Notamacropus eugenii: one gene and its partners. The protein of the gene in region 3 interacts with the protein of the main gene of each other region in a biochemical or structural test. Links are inferred from orthologs where the notes say so. Each region holds a gene or a part of one and is shown on either strand. Other genes may lie near its edges. The genes, in order: AKT1S1, RPS6KB1 and RPTOR.

Region 1 (7,268 bases), on a different chromosome or scaffold from region 3:
GGTGGGTAGCGTCATCGGATAGGGACTAATGCAACTGGGCCATCCCTGAGGTGGGGCGGAACCAGAACAGGGCGGCTGTAGTGTCGAGAATAGGGGCTTCTCCGTAGTAAAGTCTTTCCCCGAACAGCGGGAGCCACTGGCAGTTCAGGCATTGATTGGATCCTCCTTAAAGGGGAGGACCCAAAAGAACTAAGGCTGCGGTTGGCCAAGGGGACAACACAAGGGCCATACGAGGAGCTGATTGGATGCCCCCGCACCCTCCCCTAAAGGATGCTCCGGGAAAAGAGCCTGGGATTGGCCAGGGCCTGTGGAGGAGTGGAATTAAGAGGAAACTCGGGGAGTCGATTGGATACTTCCATTACCCTCCCCCAACGCACGGGAAGAGCAAGAAAAACGGAGCCCCAGAGAAAGGGAGGGTGGGGCAAAGAACGGATCCGGGATTGGCCAGGTCTGGACGTGCCAGGGGCGGGGCCAGAGGGCAGGGAATGGGGGTGGGGGAAGAAGGAAGAAAAAGGATAGGCGAAAGGGGAGGCGCAGACAGGCGCCCCCCCTCAATATTTCCGCTTGAGCTTCTGAAAGTCACTGGTGTTGAGGCGGGGCCGGGGTAGGTCTCCGAACACCTGGGAGCCTTCGGCCTCGCGCAGAACCAGGGCCTGCATGCTGGCCGCAATGCGCTCAAGGTCCGGGGAGGAGGGCTGTGGGCAGGGGGCAGCTGGTCAGCCAGGGCTACTCAGGGTCCCCTCCCTGCAGATCGAACCGCCCCCACCCCCCACCCCCCACCCCCCACCCCCCACCCCCCACCATGTCCACCGTCACTCACGGGCCCGTTCTCCTCATCCGAAGACCTGGTCTCCGTTCTCTTGTCCTTGAAGCCCCATACTGGCACGGAAACCGGCAGGGACTTGGCATACTGCTGGGGGACCTGGCTCACACACGGAGGGCCGGCTGGTGCCTCTTCGCTCAGGCTCCCGTCATCGGTGCTCTCAGGGTCAGATTCACAGAATGGGGGCAAGTCCTCGTGGGCAGTGTCTTCGTCCATCACAAAGAGGCCTGAAGGAGGGTGGGGGGTCTTGGTTCCCAGTTCTGACCTCCCAGGCTTCCATCCGGCAGAGCTTCCCTCTGCACCCACTCCCTCCTTCTGGCTCCTTCTTACCTCCGTCATCTCCCAGTCCTAGCCTGCTCCCTGAAGTCTCTGTTTCTGTCTCCTCCTCGTCCTCATTGCCGTCCTCCTGCTCCTTCTTGTCTTCTTGCCTCCGAGGATGGGGAGAGCTCCTTGGGCTAGGGGCCTGGGGCTCCGGTGCAGGGCGTGGTGCAGGGGGCCTGGCAGCCGCGGCCCGGTGGGCCTGTGCTATGTCATGTAAGCAGCGCCTGGCAGCTTCTGCCAGGGCGCCCCGGCCATGGGCTGCGTAGGCACAGGGGCCTGGCCGTGGTGGGGGCGGGGGTGCAGCTGTCAGCAGCACCAGCTCCGTACCTGTCTGTGCCCGAAAACGCTCTGCTGCCCCCACCACGGCTTCCCATAGCTCCTCAGGACGCCCAGATGCCATCCACGCCCTGGTGAGAGAAAAGAGAGTGACTCAGGTGGAAGCCGCGCATAGTGGCCCCCCCACTCACACACTTACACACACCTTAACAGAGAAGGGGACTGAAAAAGCTTGAAGAGGCTGTTTAGTGCAATGCCCTTCTTTGACAGAAAAGGCCCCAAAAGCCCAGAGAAGACCCTGGCCGGGCCGTCACCCTGTCTCTGCAGAGGCTTGTACAGAAGTCCCGACAGACACCGCCATGGGGGGAGCAACCGAGGTTACAAAGCGGTAGGTCTCACGCCGGTTCTAGGGCCGGTGACATAGAACGCCCGAGGGGAGGGATCTGGGGGCAGGGATAATCCAGGGGGATTAATGGGAGGAGGGAAAAGGCCGCAGAGTCCGGAATTGCATCCAGGTTTCCACCTAAGAGAGGATCCCCTCCACACCTGCCACCAGTTCCCCCAGTTTGGGCATGGAACAGTTGCTCAGCTCCGCCCTCCACGTGGGAAAACAGGAAGTCCTGCCCCTTGTGGGCGGGGCAAGGAGTTCCGAGGTACGAAGTAGCCCCAACCCTGTGGGGAGAGGAAAGAGGAAATCACCCCTCCTCCCCCTTCGCCCCGCCTCCCCACTCCCCAAAGAGGAAAACGGATGTCCCGCCTCCCAGGGGTTGGGAAAGCTAACGTCGAAAGCCGCCTTCTCGAAGAGAAGGCTGAAACCGGAAGTCCCGCCCTTGCGTGGGAGGGGGCACGCCAGGAGCCGGACCCCAGACCACCCCCCTCCGCTCCCCCATCATCCCGACATAGGTTACGGGCTTGGATCGGAGAAGTTCTGGAGTGAGCGCGGGGCCTCGGCCCCCTCTCTCCACGCGAGGATGGCTGCGCTGTCAGCTCGCTTACCTCGGCCGGGCTCCTGTCTCCCTGCCTCCCTCCCCGCCAGCCTTCGGTCCTCCCCAGGCGTCCGCGCCGCAGCCGCTCACGTGCTTGCGGCCAGCATGGCGGGCCTGGCGCCCTCACAGGGCATGGCGGCCTCGGCGTCATTTCCGCCCGGCGCCAGCCTCGCCGAAGCGCTCGCGACTCGCGGTCGGCGCGTCTCTGCAGCCTACCCTCGTTCTGCAAGGAGGGGCCCACCTGACCTGCCCTTAAACATCATGGCGGCCGCGCGGCTTCACGCCCCGCCCCTTGCCGAGGTCCATGGCGCTTCCGCCACAGACCTTATCCCTGAGGGGGCCGCTCCGCCTCCTGCCCGCGAGCATGGCCAGGTACAACCACGTCCTCGCCCCGGGGGCCCGCGACACCACGGCCCCGGCCGCTGCCTTCCTCCGGGTGACTCCCGCTCCGCTTCCCTTCCTCCCCCCACTTCCTTGCACGGAAGTGGTATGCCCCGCACTAACATGGCGCTCACAGCGCTGCGCAGCTCGCTTCTTTGAACGATGGCAGCACCGCTGCGGCATCCCTAAAAATCCAGGCGGAAAAGGTGGGGCTCTCGCGGTGGGGCGAGGCTTGGCAACTTCCGTCTTTGTTTACTTCTTGCTGGGAGCCCGCATGACGCGCCGGCGCACTGCCCAGTCTCAGCACCGCCCCCCCCATTGCATCTGCGCAGAACGCATTTGTTACTCTTCTCCCTCTTCTATTAGTGGTTTGATCCGCTGACGGCCGAAGGAACAAGCGGACGCTACCATTTTACTCCCATCGAGGGGAGGTTCGTCCCGCCGGATGTGACGTAAGGAATTTGTCTCCGGAGGCGGAGCGAGCTAGGGGTGTGGCCTCGGCCCCAGCTGCGACTATGGAGGAAGCTGGCTACCGGGTAAGAGGTGGCGGAGAACCTAAGAGGCCTCCTGTTTGACCTTTCCTTCCGTCCTTTAGGAACCTGGGTCCTGCCCTTCTCTGACCCTTCCCCACTACCCTTCTGGCCCCCGATCTCTTAGCGCACGCGTCTCCCTCGGCCTCGAATCCTCGGTAAAGCGTCAGCTGCGCTGATCTTTCTGCGCATGCGCCCCTGCTCAGGTACCGCCCTTGGGCGGAACTGCTTCCTCACTTCTGGCTGTGCGCATGCTACCCACCCGCCCCCGGGCACCCGCCTCCCCCTTTTGCCCGCTTCTGTGCACGTGTGCAGGCTCCTGCTGAGCCTCAGCCTCATCCCCACCTGTAGGTGGTTTTCGAGAAGGGCGGAGTATACCTGCACACGAGCGCCAGGGGGCGGCACCAGGACCCGGGCTCGCTCATCGCTGGCGTACTGCGCCTGCTCGAGAAGGTGGGTTCCCAGCAAGTGGGCGTGGCTTGGGCCGTGGGGGCGGCCTCGGGCTAGCTGGGCGGGGCAGCCCTGGGTCTCCCATTTCTTCTCTTTGTCCTTCCCTCCCCCCAGGACAATGACGTCATCCTGCATTGGGCCCCAGTGGAAGAGGCCGGAGACTCCTCCCACGTGGTTTTCTCTAGGAAGGTGGGCACCCCGCCCCCCCAGGGTCTTCTTCCTGGGGTCTCGATGTGTTCGGTTTCTCCTCCCCCTCCGTGTCTGGGGGGCGTGCCCCCCAAATCAGGCTGGAAAGTTCTGGCCCCCCACCCGCGTGTTCAGTCTCCCTTTCCCCACGACCCTCCCATCCTATCTCGGGGTGTGTTGGCGTGCACCTCCCCTCACACAGTTGGATCGCCCCTTTCCTCTGGGAATATGTGGGGCCCCCCGTATATCTAGGTCTCTGCTGTGCATTTGGGGCTCCCTCCCCAGGAGTTTTCAGGGCCTCCCATACATCTAGGTCTCTGTTATCTCAGGGCATGTCTAGGGGCCCCTCCCCAGGATATATGCAGCCTTCACAAATTCAGATATCCCCTCTCCTCCAGGGTATGTTCAGGGCCCCACCCCCTTGTGCTGTCTCAGATCAGTCTGTTCCCCTTTAGGGGGCTCAGTGTCTACTTGTCAAACCCACGGTGACAGGGTCAGAAAATCTGGACTCAAATTGATGTTTGGGGTTTTGACTTTTTGGTCCCATTTTTACCCATTGGTGTAATAGGGTTGGGTCACCTTGTTCCAGGGGTGGGTTCTATAAATGCTAGGGCAGACCCAGGATCCAAGATTTTACTATTTCATTTTCCCTCAGGAGCCTAGTGGGGGAGACCCCTGTCCATCAGAGGAAGAACCTACCTTTGACCCTGGCTATGAACCCGATTGGGCTGTGATCAGCACTGTGCGGTCCCGGCCCCGGCCCCCTGAACCTGACCCAGGTAAGTCCATTAGTCCCTAGCCCGATAGGACCTAGGGTGGGGAATGGCCTGGACTTGGGCCCTGACCCAAGGACATTGAGAACAGAGATGGGAGAAGATATATAAGGAAAGCGTTCTGGATTGGAGGGCTTGAGCTGGGTTTCAGAGGCTAGGGGTGAGAGAAGTGGAAAAGAGTCCTAGTTCCTGAGGCAAGTGGCAAGATCACCACGCGGGGCAGGACCAGACAGCCTAGGTCTCTGTTTGGGGATAGGATCACGGGTGGGGGAGATTCTGTCTGAACAGCAGTCCCCAAAGTAGGGGAATGACCATGTGAAGGGCATGGAGGAAGCAGAGCGATTAATGAAAGAACAGAAAGGGAGGATGGCGGCAAAGCATTAGTGATGATGGTGGTGGTGGGGTGGTGGCTCCAGACTTGGCAATTAGGGGACCATTGACCACCTGCAAGGGGGTAGAGTGTTTTCAGCCAGGGTTTGGGGGCAAAAGCAATATTGTAAAAGTTTGGAAAGCATTGGTGGTAAGGAAATAGAGGCAGAAGGTACAGATAGTCCTTTCTAGAAATCGGACCGTGCCAGGTAGGAGAGGGCAGGAGGCCCTCCAGGAGTCATAGAGGAAGGAGAGATGGGTGAGAGCCTCTTGCTCCCTCCCTCCAGCTGCAGGGTCGGGCAGCTCCCGGGGTCCCTGGGCCTTCTCAGTGAGCCTGGGGGAACTGAAGTCGATACGGCGCTCCAAGCCAGGCCTAGGCTGGGCCTATCTGGTGCTGGTGACCCAGGCGGGCGGCTCCCTGCCAGCTCTCCACTTCCACCGGGGGGGCACGCGGGCCCTGCTGCGGGTCCTCAGCCGATACCTGCTGCTGGCCAGGTCAGTTGGCACCAGGTGCCCCTTGTGTCCCACCTCTCCTCAGCCCCCCACCCCCAACGTGTACCCATCCTTCATCTTTCCTTTTTTTCTCTGCTGGGCCCCAGCTCTCCCCAGGATTCGCGCCTCTACCTCGTCTTCCCTCACGACTCTTCTGCTCTCTCCCACTCTTTCCATCATCTTCAGCTCTTTGATGACGACAGTTCCAATGTGGTGTCTGTGAGTCTCTGGTCTGAAGGCTGGAGGGGGCCCCCCTGGGCCTGGGCGAAACAGGGAGGAGGGAAGAGCATTCCCTGGGGTAGGAAGAGAGGGGGTCTGTATTGAGGGGAGTGGGAGGGAGGCACACTATCACCTTCCCTCTTTTATCCTTTCTTCAGCGTTTTCTCCAGGATCCTTATGCAGCCACCTTTGGTGGTTTCTCACGGGTGACCAACTTTTTTCGAGGAGCCCTTCAGCCTCCCCCTGATGGCCCCCCTGCCCGCTGTCCTGAGGCCCTTGAGGATGAGGAGCCAGAGCCTGGCTTTGAGGTCATCTCCTGTGTGAGTACCTGAGGGTCAAAGTCAGGTGTGACCCAGGGTGGATGGTCTCTGAGTAGCTCTGGATGTCCTGAGAGGAGGTAGGGGGGTGAATCATGGCTTCAGATCACCATCTCTCCCCATGTGGGGTCAGTGCAGGTGCAGCTGGGGCCCCGGCCTGTGGTTTCCCGGGGACAGCCGGTGACAGAGGACATATGGGCCAGCCACGTGGGCCCAGATGGGCGCCTTCAGAATGTTGGGGAGCTCAAGGCTCAGATCTTTGCAGGGGTGAGTGGGCTAGGGTGCCTGCAGGGAATGAGGGAAGGGGATGGCAATGCAGCCATTTGTGTGACCACTTTGTATCTTCTTAGGGTTTGTGCCCCTCTTTGAGGAGGGAGGCCTGGAAGTTTCTTCTTGGTTATCTCAACTGGGAGGGCTCAACTGAGGAGCACAAGGTCCACATCTATAAGAAAACGTGAGTGAAAGAGCCCTCTGACCCCAAGTCATCCAAGAGAGCCCTGTCCCGGAGCCCTGGCCTTGAGAGACTTCCAGTTGTTGGTGGCTGGGGGACAAGGCCTGATTGTGATGGTGGTCTGCTGCTGACCTCTTCCCCTCTTCCTAACCCCTTTCCCGGTGGCATCAGGGATGAGTATTTCCGTATGAAGCTGCAGTGGAAGTCAGTGAGCCCTGAGCAGGAGAGGAGGAACTCGTTGCTTCATGGCTATCGCAGCCTCATTGGTCAGTGCTGTACACATGGGTCAATGGGGATGACCTGAGGTAAGGGTTGCTCCAACCTGAGTTTCTGTTTCCCTTTCCTGAAGAGCGCGACGTGAGCCGTACTGACCGCAGCAACAAGTTCTACGAGGGACCTGGGAGTCCAGGCCTGGGCCTGCTGAATGACATTCTCCTCACCTACTGCATGTATCACTTTGACCTCGGTGAGAGCGGGATGGGCATCTCTGTGGGATGGGTGGGAGCTGGTGGTACAAAAGCCTGGGTGGAAGATGATCCATCAAGAACTCCCCAAATGGCAGACTTTGGGCACACAGGAAGTAAGGGAACTTGTGGTATCCATCAGCAGCTCACATCCTACCCCTTGTCCATGCTCCTAGGTTACGTCCAGGGCATGAGCGATCTTCTCTCTCCCATCCTCTATGTCACACAAA
Region 2 (7,872 bases), about 49 Mb from region 3:
CCCTCAAGAAGCCTATAAATCCAAGGAAAGACAAACAGAGAATTACTAGCTGGGGGGCAGGAGAAAATAGGGGGAGGAACTTCATCTGAGCTGAGCTATTAAGGAGTGAAGGGCCTTCCTAGAACCAAGGCAGGCTTATGCAAATACAAAGAAGCTGGAGAGCTCAGGCAACAGTGAGTAGCCTGCCTGAAGGGAAAGTTGTAGAAATAAGTATGAAAAGGCAGTTTGGAGCTAAAGAGCTTTCAAAAGCTTGGTGGAGGGGTTTGTTCTCTTGTAGAGGCAACAAGGAAACAGTTGCTTTTTAAGCAGAGGAATAACATGATCAGATCAGTGCCTCAAGAAGAGTATTTTAGCAAGTCAGTGAAAAGACAGATTGGAGAGGGTGGAAAATAAAAGTACTGATCAATTAAGAGATCATTATAATAATCATGAAAGAAAAGATTCAGAATTGATCTAGGGTGCAGTCTGTGAGCAAAGAGAAGGGAACTGATGGGAGAGATGTTATGAAGTTTACGTAAACTAAGTGGATCTGGGGAACAAGGGAGTCAAGATTACTTTTTGAGTTACAAAACTAGGAGCATGATACTAAAGAAAAATAAAGAAGTTGGGAGAAGTGGTAGATTTAGAGGGTAAAGATGATCATGAAAAGAACAGCATTATTCATTCCTGTTTTAACTTCCCTTTAAGATACTCAAAGATCTTCATATAGAAAATGTATTCCTATAAATATATATTGCATGTACATACATAACGGTATCTTTTATTTATACATGTCTTTTACATAAATATATACATGTATGTATGTGTGTATAAATATTATCTATAATATATGTGTGTATGTTTTTACATATATATGTATATATATGACATCTTTTAACCCTAACATTTATCAGTTTGATAATATGCAAACGTTACTATTGTTTGAGGGGATGAGGATGGAATTGGGCAGTTAAATAACATCCCAATAACACAAGCAAAGTGTTGCTAAATTACTCAACTTTCAGATTACTATTCTATTTGAATTTTCTTTTTTAAATTTAAAAGGAAAATGAGAAGCAAAATAGAACTTTCAATATCCAACTCATTAATATTTTTAAATCTCATGTCTAAAGACCTAGGATGATGTCTCATCAGGATGTGGTGGTGATATTAGGTTCTAGAAGTGGTAAGTCTTACCAAGCTAGAAAGGATGGAGTACAGGGCCAATAAAAAATGAGATGATAAAGCGTTCACCAAGCCTGAAAGTAACGAGTGTATATATGTATATGTATGTGTATATATATGTATATACATACATGTGTATATATACATATATGTGTCTACCACATGTAACACACTAGCCATTAATTACTGTTATTAACAAATGTTCTTATAGGAACAGTCTAAGCTTGGAAAAATTCATCATCAAAACGCTGACTGTAATGAATTATTTTGGCCATATCAACTCACAAAACTATATACTAGAATTGGCCAAGAAATTTTCCCAAGCTGACACATACTAGCTTAACCTCTCAGAGTTCCAGGAAATTCAAACCATACATTTTATATGTGCAGTAGCAGTAGGCAATTCCTCACGAGTTCCCCCTCAGGTTGATACAATTACAGATAAGAACAAAAACAAACAAAAACACTACATATTAAGACCTGACAAGGATGCAACCTCTTCAGTTTCCTCTAAGGTGTACCCTACACTGATGGTGAAATCACAGGCCAGGAGGGGGGAAAAAAGGGTATCTATTAAGGTGTGAAGCCTGTGAAGGGATCATCTTGGGGGGGAGGGTTACCCACAAAGATGAAATGAAATCACAGATCTTTTGAAGTACAAAAATATATGCCTTACCAATGATGTTCATGAGCAGAGAAATAAATTATTTTAGATTCGCCAACTCTAAAAAACACCTTAAAAATTAATAAATAATCCTTAAGTACAATCTGGCCTGGAAAAAGAAATATTGCAAAAGGAACAATAAAAGACAAAAACAAGCTCTACTTAAAGTAAGCTAGAAAGTAGTCCTACCATACAGCAAGGTGGCCCTGGAACCATCAACTTAACAAGTCCCAGGTAAAGCAACTTATTTGGGGGAAGCCAAATCACAGCTGCCGGCACCGTTTTTTCAACTCCCAAATCAGAAAACCGCACAAACCTCTTGTCTGGCGGGCGGAGGGAGAATCGGGAAGAGGGGCATCACAGTTTTACACTGTAAACAGCTTTTAAAGAATCACCCCGTAACCCTCCCCCCGAAACTGCATCCTGCAGGTCACCCTCCCAGGGCGGCTGCTGCCGCAAAGCCCAGCCCGCAGAACTTTTCAGCTGTCATCCAACAGCTGAGCGGACGCTTGGCAGGCGCCAAGTCGCCGGGGCGAGCGCAAGGAGCGGGGACCCCAGGCTGGGGAGCAGCTTGAGCTCCCCGCACCAAGCACCCCTCCCTGCTCCCCCGCGGCCGCCTCCCAGACCCGCTGCTCCAGGGTCACCCTGAAGCTCGCGCCACCCCCGCCACCAGAGACCCGGGGTCGGGAGGGGGTGGTGGCCGGGAGCTTGGTGCACCTGCGCCCGTCAGCAGCCGCCCCCACCTCGGGATTGGTCCTGCCGCGCCACCCGACTCCACAGCGGAGCCCGCTGCTCGGCCGCCGGCCGCCCTCCCGCTCCGCTGGCCTGCGTCCTGGCCCCAGCCTCTGGCTCTCGCCGCAGGCGAGGTCGCTGGAACGGCCCGGCTCCCTAGGCCCGAGCCTACGCCCCGGCCCTGTCACCTCCGCCCGGCCCAGCCGGCCCAGCCTGGCTCGGCTCAGCCCCCGACCCCGGGCCTCACCCCTTCCTCCAGCTCATCCTCAGAGCCTGCGTCCTCCGGCTGGTCCAGGTCGATGTCAAAAACTCCTGCCATGGCCTCAGCTTCCCCGTCTCTGAAGTCTGGCGCTGGGTAAAATCCGTCCCGCCGCCGCCGCCGCCTCATGGGCCCGGACCCGCCGCAGCCGCCGCTGCTGCCGCCGCCATCACCAGCTGCCGGGTATCAGTGCGACTGCGCTCAGGCCCTAGGCTCACACCGCAAGCTCACCCATTTGCACATGCGCAGAACTACCCATGAAGCCGAACTATGGGCAATGGGCAAAATTAGCTCTTGTTCTGGGAGCGAAGTAGAGGCTTAGACATGCGCATAACCTCACCTGAAGCCGAGGGTATAAACTTGTGTATCTCTTGCTCCAACAGCGCTTGATAAACTGTGCGCATGCGTATCGTTTCTGAAATTGATGAACTGAACTCAGAACTTGCATATAACTTTGGACCAGCTGAAGAAGGGGAGGGAGAACTATCGAGAGAAGGGTTCGCAGAACGGAACATGCGCACTTATCCTTCTGAAGTCTCGAGTGCGGACATCGAACATGCGCAGGAGGGATGTTTGGGGAGGGATGAGTTGGTGACAGTGAGCATGCGTGAGTGGAGAGCCGTTATTCTGGGGGTAGTGGCAGAGACCCTAAAGCTCGGCTGGACTCGGAGCCGTCGGTGAGTGAGGGCCTAGGCCCGAGATGAGGGAGTCTTCCTTTCTCATTCGCTCGAGCTGGGGCCTTCGCCGAGGTGGCCTCGCTGGGCGGTTTCCGCCCTCCTCTCCGGGCCTCACGGCCTTCCTTTTCCCTGGTCTTTGAGCTCCTCTGCAGTGAAACCAAGTCCCTGCTGCTACCCTGTCCGTCGGAGACGTTCGCCGCGGGCCTCCGGAGAAACCTGGCACTGTAGGAGCGTAGTAAGAGCTGGAAGGGACCTTGGAGCCCGGCGGCGGCAGGGCCAGCCCCCTGATCGTACCGGTGAGGAAACTGAGCCCCACAAAGGGCGTGTGTCTTGTCCAGGACCCCCACGGGGCCGGGGTTGGAAGTCTCCGGCCTCCCAACCAGTGGTCTCGTAGATGGGGTTTTCTCCCTCCGACTGGGCCGATCCCCACCGTCCGTGCCTGCCCAGTCACATTAATAAGCCTGACATCCCCATGGAGAGCCCTAGAGGCTGTTGCCGGGTGACCAGCCCGCCGCCTTTTTTATTTCCGTTTTTTTCCTTGTTCTGGTGAAGTCCACGAGCTTTTAGTTAGGCACTATGCTAAGCGCTAGGGATGCAAAGAAAAGCTCGACCCTACTCTCTGTGTTGTGCCTTGAATGCCAACTAACCTACTGACAGCTCTTTTCCTCTGCGTTGGGCAGTGCCGCCTTCCTTCCCTCTGAGACTACCCCAATTTTACATGTATATATATATATGTGTGTGTGTGTGTGTGTGTTTTACATACACGTGTGTGTATGTATATGTGTGTGTGTATATGTTTTACATACACACGTGTGTGTGTATGTATATAGTTTGTCCATGGTTGTATGTTGTCTTCCCCATCAAACCCCGAGTGCCATGAGAAGGGCGGGGGGGGGGGCATTTGTTTGTTTTGGTTTGGTTCTTCTTTATATCCCCACCTTTGCAGAGAGCCTGGCTCAAAGTAGGCACTTGGTAAATGCCTGAACTGAGTGACTGAACTTTTCTTGTAAGGGCTAATAGAGGTGCTGGGCACCTAAGCTTGGAAGGATGGTGAAGTCTCCATATATTCTCACTCTAACTGTAGGGTATTCTGCTACTGGCAAAAACAAAATCATTGCTTTGAGGAAAAATTGACAGAGAATCTGATGTTCCAGATAAAGGAAGGAAGGCTTGTCAAAAATTCTTTATGGTGCCTCAGTTTTTATTGATACGCACCTTTTGTTTTTCACTTTCTAAATGTGTCTGCATACTTAAAAGATTATGTTCTGAGAGTTTCAATGGAGACACAAACGTCAAAATTTGGCAACTAGTTTGATATGTGTAGTAGATTAGAATGAGGAGTCAAGGATGACACCAAGCTTGTTGTTATAACAAAGTGACAGGAAGGATGGTGGTGCCTTTGACAGTAACAGGAAAGTTTGAAAGAAGTGTGGGTTTATAGGGAAAGATAATGAGTTCTGTTTTGAATATGTTGAGTTTGCAGTACCTGCGGAACATTCATTATGAATAAGCACTTGGTGATATGGGAGTGGAGTTCAAGAGAGAGACTAAGGCAAAATATATAGATATGGGAATCATCCACTGGAAATCTGGAACCATTGGCAGTTAATAAGCTCACCACATGGGAGAACATAGAGAGAAAGAGAACAGAGGTTTGGAGGACCCCCATATGAATGGGCATGACTTGGAAGAAGAGCCATTGAAGGATACTGAGAAGTAGTGGTCTGACTGGTTGTGTCACCAAAACAAAACAATACAGTTATATTCTAATGTGTGAAGAGGTTTCAATCTCATCCATAGTACTCATACTGATGAAGGCACATCTGATCTTTTGATGTCTTCAGTAAAAAAAAAAATCCAAGCAATCATCTCAACTGTGGTGGTTATTATCACTGATATTTAATTATTTACATCTTCCTGTAAAACTAGAATCATTGAAATATAGCTGTCCTCTTACAGATTATACATATTCGTAGGTAGCTTAATTGCCAAATGTTTGCCAATTTTTGTTGTTATTGTAAATAAAGTGTTTTTTCATGATGTTTTCTTGATCTTTAATGTGGATATCTTGCACCTTTGCTAAACCAGTTTGATGTCTTCATTAATTTTCATGTCATATGCAGAAAAATTACCTGAAAATTGCTCAGTCTCATTAGTAATCAAACATATACAAATTAAAAAAACTTGGAGTTATCAGTTCACATTTATCAAACTGGCAAAAAACAAAAACAGTGGCACAAATAAAATCAGTGAAGAAAGAATCAGAAGAGAAGCAGCAGAGTAGGAAAAATACCTGCATCAGATACCACTGATATTTGTTACAAGGGTGTTGTTTTTCTTTTCTTTTTGTAGATAGAAGATAGGGAAGAGAGAAAATAAAATATTTACCTGAAAAAGCTGTTTTAAAAAACCTCAGTCTCTCTCTCACACACACACATAAGCACAAGCTTGCTATGCATACTGCATGGGGAACTGCCATAAAACAATAGTTACTGCCCAGTGGTTAAGTGGGCCTGCTTATGGTTGTCTGAAGGCCTCAACCCCCAGACCAGAACATATTACATCTTTCTCTTGCTGTGCGACAGGCTTCCATACTACCAAAGATACAATAATACTACCTGTCATGAGGCCTTGTGGATCATACCAAAAACAAGATTTTTTCTAACCACATACCTTCACCAACAAACTTCTCTCCATCTGCCTTGTACTCTGCTTGCACTCATTTCCCAGTAGTTAGCGTATTCCTACTCCCTCATTACAGATAGTAACTCCCAATGTATGTATCTTAATTATGAAAGGAAGATGAGAAACAGTATGGTTAGAGATCCACAGTCATGATTAGAGATCCAACCCTGGAATCAGGAGACTTGGCTTCAAATCCCATATATGAATCCAGGCCAGTCTCTGAACCTTCCTTGCCTCAGGCAACTACCCCTGAAAGACTCTTAAGTAGCAGGGCAGGGGTCACTCATATTGAAACGTTTCGTTTTTTTGGGAGTTTCCCATAGCAAAGAAAGCATATTTGCAATACAATACCATCCTATCTCATGAAGAGAAGATAACTTTTTTTAAAGCGAAGTAATTTTCAGGGACAGAAATACATTTCTGATGCTGTTTTTAATTCACTGTCAGAGATAATCTAGGAATTTCGAAGTTCTGTTTTTCCCTTCAGCTAAGCCTGAATGTTATTACTGTTATATAATGTTGCTTAATGTGTGATTACTTTCTGATGTATGCGTATGTGTTTTTATTTGCCCTTGATGATAATCTGTAGTTATTTTGAAAGACATGATTGTTTCCTATTCTGCTTTATTCACTTTCTTTGTAGGAAAAGGTTTGGTCGCCATGTCAATAGTCACAATTCAGCTTGGTCAGTGTGGCAATCAGATTGGTTATGAAGTATTTGATGCCATATGTAGAGACTTAAATAATACCCAGGGATTCTGCTCTAAGAGGGAAAATGAAGTATATCAGGCATCTTGCAAAGAACATTTCTTTAATGAGGAGAAAAGTGGAGGTATGTAATTAAGGTGGCGATAAACATTGAGAACAACGCATTGTTTCTTTTTTTTCCTTTTAACAAATATTGACCCTAGAATACCAATTATGGAAAATAAAAGTATTGCCTGTTTAAGCAGGAAGCAAAAAGAAATGTCCATAAGTCTCTTTGTATCCAATTTAATTTTTTTTTAAATACCTGTTGCTTTGTATACAGTGGATACTCAACAAATGTTGCCAAAGAAATTTTTATTTAAAATTGGGAAGTTTGGTTTTCTTTTTTTTCCCCCATACTTATTAATTTGTTTTCAGTTTTCAACAATCACTACCATAAATTCCAAATTTCTTCCCCTTCCCTCCCCAAGATAGCATGCAATTTTATATGGGTTCTACACATGCATTCCTATTAAACACATTTTCACCTTAGTCTTGTTGCATAGAAGAATTAAAACAAATAGGAGAAACCATGAGAAAAACAAAATAAAACATAACAAAGGAGAAAATAGTCGCTCCATTCTGCATTCTGACTCCATACTTCTTTCTCTGAATGTAGATGGCATTTTGCATCATGAGTTCTTTGGAAATGATTTAGGTCCTTGCATTGCTGAGAAGAGCTAAGTCTATCAAAAACAGTCCTTGTATACTGTGGCTGTTAACTGTGTATAATGTTCTCCTGGCTCTGCTCACTTCACTCAGCATCAATTCACATAAGTCTTTCCAGCTTTTTCTGAAGTTCTGTTCATCTTTTCTTATAGCACAATAGTGTTCTATTACATTCATAAACCACAACTTTTTCAGCCATTCCCCAGTTGATGGGCATCCCCTTGATTTCCAGTTCTTGGCCACCACAAAGAGAGCTGCTATACATGTGGGTCTTT
Region 3 (7,397 bases):
TTACAAAATCAAAGAGTTGGTCTCTAAGGTCAGTACCAACTCTAAATCTGTGATCCGATGATGAAGCAGTGAAATCAGGTACTTAGTAGAACTTTTGGATGAGTATGATGTTCAATTAACCATGAAGAAAGATGCCTTCTAGAACAATGGAATAGTCTGGCTTGTATGCCTGGAACCATAGTGATTGCTTACGGTCGTCTCTCTAATGGAAGTTTCTTAAGTGACATCCCCTCAAGTGGCTCATCAGAGAGAAGCCATGGACCCAACTTCCCAAGGCATCTTTGAATGGAAAGATAATAGTTGGTTCTAAAATTACTCCAAAAGGTCATTTACAAACTGATAGTGTAGACTATTTTCACAGCCAATGAAAATATTCTTCTCAGTAAGGTATTCAGAACTACAGGACTTTTATTTTTCTTCTCAGTGTTCTGTAAGGAGCTTATTAAGGAGTTTTGCCTTTCCCAACTTAGAATTTTAGTTTTAAAAAGTCAAAGTTAAAAGAAATCACATCACTTTTGGCCAGATGAAACATCAGATTTAGAACAAGAGCTACATTTCACAACTAGTCATTATGAAAGACTTTTCTGTCATATTAAAAACAAGATGTGATGCTTTTTTAGAAAAAAAGCAGGGTGCACCAAGATTATACTTAAAAAATTGGATGGATTTGTTTTACAAAATATTGCTATTCAAACGCTCACAGCAACCACAAGAACTACAAAGCCTTTAAATAGCATCAAAGACATACATTAACTCCAAAGGATGTCCACAATTCTTGAGGATCTTATCATTTATACTTTACTTTTTGGCTTATGAAAGATCTTCTCCATTCATTTTACAAGTAAAAGTCACCAAAATACCAAAAATACTAATGACTGGCTAAATTAGAAATTTTCCTGTGTAATTTTATACCTATTTGTTGTGATTTTTAAGGGAATACTAAAGATTTCACCTTTAGTGAAATTGGATTTAAATGAATGGAAAAAGAAGCTGGGAAATTGGTAGTCCAACTCATTTTCTTTGGTTATTGTGATGAAAGTTATGTGGATATGCAATGCATATGAATATCAGATACAGTAATACTACCTGGCTAACCCATCTTCTTCCCCACTGGAAGCCTCCCAAAGTCACTGCCAACACAAGTAGTTTCTTCTCTCCCTCCCGAAACAATAGCCTGGAATGGCGATCCACCACATTACCTAATTCACTGTACTGGAAATCCTCTCTCCAATTTCCTGCCATGTAAAATATGGAAAGTTTGGGGTTATGACAAGTTACTTAGAATGTTAAAACTGATTGGGTCTTGAAAACAGAGGGTCCATGAGAATGGTGTATATAGAGAAGCCCAAGAATACAGGAGTTCCAGACCCACCTCTGATACATATTGACTAGATCAAGTCCCTTAACCTCTCAGTGCTCTGAGCAAGTTGCACGATGTAGACCTGCATTATTACTGTTGAGAATTTTTCTTACCTAAGAGCTCCCTATAGCAATAAAATCACAGGTCCAATCCATATCTATCTTGAAAACAAAAGTTTATCTCACCAGCTGCCACCTCCGGCAGTAGTTCTGACCATATTCCATAACTTAGATTTACTTGTGGCCCCACGTGATTACCACACACTATTTACTTTTTTCATTTTAATTAGTAGTAAAAGTTTAAAAAGTAGACTAATCACTAATTATAAGCAATAGTTTGTGGTTTGTAATCGACTCTTCTCCAAGCCAGAATGGCAGGGAATATGTTCCTTGAGCTGTATACAAAATGGTAACCATAAATAAAGTAAGTTTCTTTCTACATTAATTCTAACTTTATCAGTCACCTGAAGTTTTTCAGGCTGGTCTTTCTTTTAAAAAAACAAAACAAAACTAGAGCAGAAGTACCACTTGATTGTTAGGTGCAGAAGATATGCAACATGTGGCTGGTAGACAGGACCGCACAACACCCAAGATACTGCCCCGGGCTTCACCCGGACTAGACTGAGATCCCCCTGGAGGGAAAATTACCACAGTTAAAGGGGAAGCAGAGGACGGTTATTTACCCGGTCCTTCATCCTCCAGCTCTGGGCCAAGGACTTGGAGCCCTCGATCTTCTCGCAGTGCCTCTTCTTCATGAAAGTCAAAGGCAGGTTCCAGTCGGTCAGGTCGGACTCGTCCTCCTCCCCAAGCCCGAGAAGAGGCGACTGCAGCATCTCGGACTCCATGAGGGTGGGAGGAGGTGGGGGAGTCCTGGGCAACAAACGCTCGAGAACCTCCAGCCTTAGAGAGTCGTGGGCACCAGAAAGGATGAAATATGGGAACGAGGGGTGGATGCGGGGAAAAGAGAAGCACTGGCGAGGCCGTCCCAGTATGGAGCGGGGGGCTGGCCAAGTTCCCGAGGCTTATCTCCGCGTGGGAATGCCAAGAACCCCAGGGCCAGGGGCCCACGCCCCCGGGCTTCAGGCCACACCGACTTCTTCGTGGGCTGTCGGATGGAGCCCCGAGCTGGCTGAGAATGGAGCTGTCAAAAGCGTGGGAGCCCTCGGACCTCCGATGACCCTGCTCCAGGCCACCGGGGCCGGACCGGCCTCCGGTCGATCCCGAGGAGGCGGGCGGGAAGGTCGCAAGCTGTCGCTGCCTGCGGGCCGCCGGTCAGGCGGGTGGGAGATCCGAGAGGGGGCTAGGCGACGGGGAACGGGGGACAGGGATCCTCCTCGGGGCGCTTCTCAGCCCTGCGGACCCCGCACTCTCCGGAGCTGCTGCAGCCGAAGCCAAGATCGGCCCATAGTGTCCGCCTGCGGGAGGCTTCCGTCAGGTCTACCCTGGGTTCCCGAGGCCTGGCTCGTCCCCGCCCAAAGGCTCCCCGCCACTCCCTTAGGCCTGAGGGCAGGGAGAGGGGAAACGCCAGGTACAGGACCCTCCTGGGCGACGGAGAAAGAGATCGTTTGACTTGAGGAATTTCCCCTCGTCGTCCAGGGACAGAGAGAGAAACTCCGCTCATCAGCACACCAAGGGGGACGCCATATTGCTAAGGCCCACAATGCATAGCGATCTACGGAGCCCCCAGAAGGTCAAACTTTCTGAGGAAATTCCTGGAGCTGTCCGCCAAAGCAGTAGAAAGGGAAAGTGCTACTGACACCCATCCCCTTAGTGATGAAGGAAAAAGTAGAGTAGCATTAAGGGATGTGTTTTTTCTTTTCTCTTTTCTTATTTTTTCTTTTGGAGAAAGGGAGGGGGGAAATGGAGGAGGAGGGAGAGAGAGAGAGAGAGAGAGAGAGAGAGAGAGAGAGAGAGAGAGAGAGAGAGAGAGAGAGAGAGAGAAAGGGAGAGAGAGAGATTTTTTTATTATTTGCTGTGAAGTAAAATGGAAAAGTTAATGATGACCATCTTTCTCCAATTTTCACAAAAAACACTCTTAAAGTCATAGCTCTTTCTTGATCTTGGGTGATACCAGGGGTACCTTCTTTCAAGGATTCTACTGTTTGTGAAAGTTTTATTTGGGGGGCTAGCATGGTGAAAGAAAATCAGTACAAGTTTCTATGATGACTTACTTGTGATGTCTGCAAACCCTGGAACAATTTATTTCACCTTCTGAGGCAAGTTTCTTTATATATATATATATATATATATATATATATATATATATATATATATATATATATATATATATATATATATACACACACACACACACATGCATACATACATACATGTATATATCCATATATACACACATACATGCACACATATGTATATATGTATGTGTATGCATATTTATCTTTGTGTGTACATAAGTGTGTGTATATGTATGTGTGTGTGTGTTTATAGTGAAGGAGGAATGGTATGAATAGGAATGGTATTATCAGTCTAATCCCAACTTCCCCTCCTCAAGTAATTACTATGAAGCCCCAGAGTGGTTCATTTTCATATAAAAGGACCAGCAACTTAGAGTGTGATCAGACCAAGAAAATAATCCTTCACTAAGCCACTCTTCAATTTGGACTTGACGGCTGTCAAGGAGAGAAAGTTTTCTCTCCTTTGACAATTCAAAACTCTTGAACTTCATCCCCCATTCTCTCTCATATTTCTCCTTTTCCAATCAAATCTAGGAGCATTTATTAAGCACTTATTATGTATTGTATGAGGAGAGGGTCCCATGAACAGGATACAAAGAAAAGAAAAAGAAAAAAAGAAGGCCCTGCCTTTAAGGATAGAATGGTGAGCTTGAAGTCAGAAAGCTTCATGGTTTTGAATTGAAATGTGACCTCAGACACGTACTAGCTGTGTGACCTTGGGCAGGTCACTGAACCCCATTTGTCTGTGTTCTTCATCTGTCAAATGAGCTGGAGAAGGAAATGGCAAACCACTCCAATGTCTCTTCCAAGAAAACCCCAAAATGGGTCACCAACAATTGGATATGACTCAAAAATGACTGAACATGTGGGGGGAGGAAGTAACATGGTCAGATTTGCCCTGTAGGAAAATCACTTTGGAAATTGAAAGGAGGATGGATTGGAGTAGGAGAGACCTGGAGCAGCTCAGAAAGCTGTTGCAACACTGCATGAAATGAGGTGATGAGGCTCTGCACCAGAATAGCTGATGAATGAGTATAAGAGATGGTGTGAAAGTAGAAATGACAGCTTGGGTATCATAGAAGATAGAATTCTAGGCCTGGAGTCAGGAAAACCTGAATTCAAATCCTACCTCAGGCACCAAAGGCAAGTGACTTAACCCCCTTTGCCTCAGTTTCTTCATCTGTCAAATGGATTGAAGAAGGAAATGGCAAACCAAGAAAACCCCAGATGGGGTTATGAAGAGTCAGACATAACTGAAACAGCTGAACAGCAAAAATGACAACATTTGACAACAAAGTGAATAAGTGCAGGTAAGTCAGTTTAGAGTCTGGATGACTTGGGAAGATGGCAATGCCCTCAAAATTAATATGGAAGTTGGAGGAGAGGGAAGAGTTTAAGTATATAATGAGTTATGTTTTTGGACATGTTGGGAGGTCTAATAGGTTATTGAAAGGTTATTGGAGAAGAAAGTTAGAACTGAATAAATGGATCTTCGAGTCATCATCATAGAGTTGATAACTAAATCCTTCAGAGATGATGTTGCGAAGAAAAATAGTATAGAAAGAGAAAAAGGACCAGGACAAACCCTTGAGGAACACTTAAGTTTGGTGGGTATGACCTTAATGAAGATAGCACAAAAGGGATGGAGAAGAAGTAGTCCAAAGGGTAGAAGGAGAACCATAGTGGTATGAAAATTGAGAATCCAGGACAGTGAGAATTCTCATAGCACTATATAGTTAGCAAAGAGTTTTACATCATACAGCCAGTGTCTGGGGCCCTTACATGGTACAGTGGATAGAGTGCTTGGCTTGGACTTAGGAAAAGTCATTTGGTCTCAGACACTAACTAGATGTGTGACTGGGCAAGTCATTTAACATTGCTTGCCTCCATTTCTTCATCTGTAAAATGAACTGGAGAAGAAAATGGCAAACTGCTCTAGATTCTTTGCCAAGAAAACCCCAAATAGAGTCACAAAGAATAGGACATGATTGAATAATGCTAATGTTTGAGGCAGTAATAGAACTTGGTTCTTCCTGATTCCAAGTCCAGAGCTCTATCCATTGTGCTACCTAGCTGTGACCAAAAAAGGTTGATTGGCAGTGTCAAAGGTTGCAGAGAGGTTAAGAAGTATGAAGACTGAGAAAAGGCCATTAGATTTGAGAAGTAAGTGATTATCTATAACTTTGGAGAGGACAGTTTCAGTTGAATGATGAGTTTGTAAGTCAGACTTTATAAAGGATTTAGAAAACAATGAGAGGAGAGGAAATGGAGATACTGTTTTATTGTAGAGAAGAGAGAAAGGACATTGAGACCCTAAAGTTCCAGAGTTGTGAGGTGCCTTGGCCATGTGTTCCTTACAGATGTGCCTTGTGACCACTCTTACCACAAATATTGTGTGCAGTCATGGGTAAGTACATCCCAAGTTCACAGGGAAATGCTTTATAGCTTCTGTCCTTACTATGCCATGTAAGTTAATGTCTTTCTTAAGAGTTAATTGGTTCTAATAATAATAACAACAGCCAACATTCATACAGCATTTACTATAGCATTCTAGGCATTCTGCTAAGTGTTTTGCAATTATTATCTCACTGGATTCTTATAACAACCCCGGGAGATAGATGCTATTATTATCAGGAAACTGGGCAAGTGACTTGCCCAGGGTTACACAGCCAATAACTATCAGAGGCTGTATTTGAAGTCTGGTCTTCTTGACTCCAAACTCACTGTACCACCTGCCTGCCCCTAGCTGTCAGTCTATTAATTAGCTGTTAAAAGAAAGCTGATGGGGGCTCATGAGTTACAGTTCTATATATTGGGAATGCTAATACCATAGCTGTAGTCCAAGGAATTAGTACTTATGGGATATCACCTAAAATCAGAGGCAGCATCTCTTCCCTGGGCACCTAACTTAGCTTTTCTACATCCAGTTTATTTAGGGTTCTAGTCTATTATAGTGATTTAACGTTATGGAATACTTTCTAGATAATATTGAATTAGTACTGCTATCCATGTTAGTAGAGGGAGCACCACTTATTCCTAAAGATTCCAGATTTTCCTGTATTTTTATATTCTTTTTAATGTGATACATTGTCCTAGTAACTTTTCTTGTTCTGTGACAACCTTGCATGCCAGGGACAAACCATATTTGTTCATGGCGGAGATTTTTGAATGTGTTATACTCTTTGCTAAGATTTAATTTAGTATTTTTACAACTAAATTCAAAAGAGAAGTTGGCATGTGGCTTTCATTTCTGGCTTCATCTTTGTCAGATTTTCAAAGAAAAAATATATTTGTATCATAAGAAGAATTGGGTCACACACCACTGTGGTCTGTATTCTAGAAAAATTTATGTTATATAGTTCAAAGGGACCTTAGAGACCATGTAGTCACAGATGGGAAAACTAAAGCTTAGAAAGGATAATTTGCCAAATAGTGTTTGTTCTTTAAATGTATAGAAATGCTTCTCAGTGAACCAGTACGTTCTCTCAGGTAATTATTTGACAATTTCCCTTACTTCTTACTTTGCTATATTCATCACTTTTTCCACCTATCAGTGGTTTGAACATTTTGAATTTTTTGTCAGCCTTATTAAAATCCTAAATAATTAAGTTAGATTTGTTTCAATTGCACTCCATGGCTTCTTCTGTTATAGAGAAGAGAGGAAGGACATTCTTTCTTCTAATAGAATATTGATTTTTATCTTTAATAAGCCAGTTGTCTGGCATGCAAAGATTTGGAAATGATTTCCCCATCACTGACAAGTCATTTCCTCTATATTAAAATATAGTTTCTTTTTTGTAATATTCTATAGAGAGATAACCCATGAAGCTAGTCTCTCAGCTT

What was found.
Region 1: the proteins of RPTOR (region 3) and AKT1S1 interact in a biophysical measurement, tested with the Homo sapiens proteins (2 studies listed by BioGRID and IntAct, with this or other methods). The link is inferred for Notamacropus eugenii from reciprocal best matches to the Homo sapiens genes RPTOR and AKT1S1.
Region 2: of the proteins of RPTOR (region 3) and RPS6KB1, one has a biochemical effect on the other in vitro, tested with the Homo sapiens proteins (6 studies listed by BioGRID and IntAct, with this or other methods). The link is inferred for Notamacropus eugenii from reciprocal best matches to the Homo sapiens genes RPTOR and RPS6KB1.

What each region holds. Positions count from the first base shown.
Region 1 is NC_092876.1:12,094,084-12,101,351, reverse strand, and holds the start of AKT1S1 (proline-rich AKT1 substrate 1), read right to left. Parts: upstream 3,004-7,268; 5' UTR 2,913-3,003; coding exon 2,731-2,912; intron 2,547-2,730; exon of another isoform or gene 2,417-2,546; intron 2,093-2,416; coding exon of another isoform or gene 1,967-2,092; exon of another isoform or gene 1,626-1,966; intron 1,552-1,625; coding exon 1,154-1,551; intron 1,051-1,153; coding exon 821-1,050; intron 696-820; coding exon 552-695; 3' UTR 1-551. Other genes in the region: TBC1D17 (TBC1 domain family member 17), read left to right, coding at 3,303-3,323, 3,669-3,770, 3,882-3,956, 4,609-4,732, 5,383-5,590, 5,695-5,806, 5,965-6,126, 6,262-6,390 and 4 more. UniProt on the Homo sapiens protein: Negative regulator of the mechanistic target of rapamycin complex 1 (mTORC1), an evolutionarily conserved central nutrient sensor that stimulates anabolic reactions and macromolecule biosynthesis to promote cellular biomass generation and growth.
Region 2 is NC_092873.1:372,682,505-372,690,376, reverse strand, and holds the start of RPS6KB1 (ribosomal protein S6 kinase beta-1), read right to left. Parts: upstream 3,038-7,872; 5' UTR 2,949-3,037; coding exon 2,808-2,948; intron 1-2,807. Other genes in the region: TUBD1 (tubulin delta chain), read left to right, coding at 6,842-7,013. UniProt on the Homo sapiens protein: Serine/threonine-protein kinase that acts downstream of mTOR signaling in response to growth factors and nutrients to promote cell proliferation, cell growth and cell cycle progression.
Region 3 is NC_092873.1:323,392,004-323,399,400, reverse strand, and holds the start of RPTOR (regulatory-associated protein of mTOR), read right to left. Parts: upstream 3,024-7,397; 5' UTR 2,205-3,023; coding exon 2,043-2,204; intron 1-2,042. UniProt on the Homo sapiens protein: Component of the mechanistic target of rapamycin complex 1 (mTORC1), an evolutionarily conserved central nutrient sensor that stimulates anabolic reactions and macromolecule biosynthesis to promote cellular biomass generation and growth.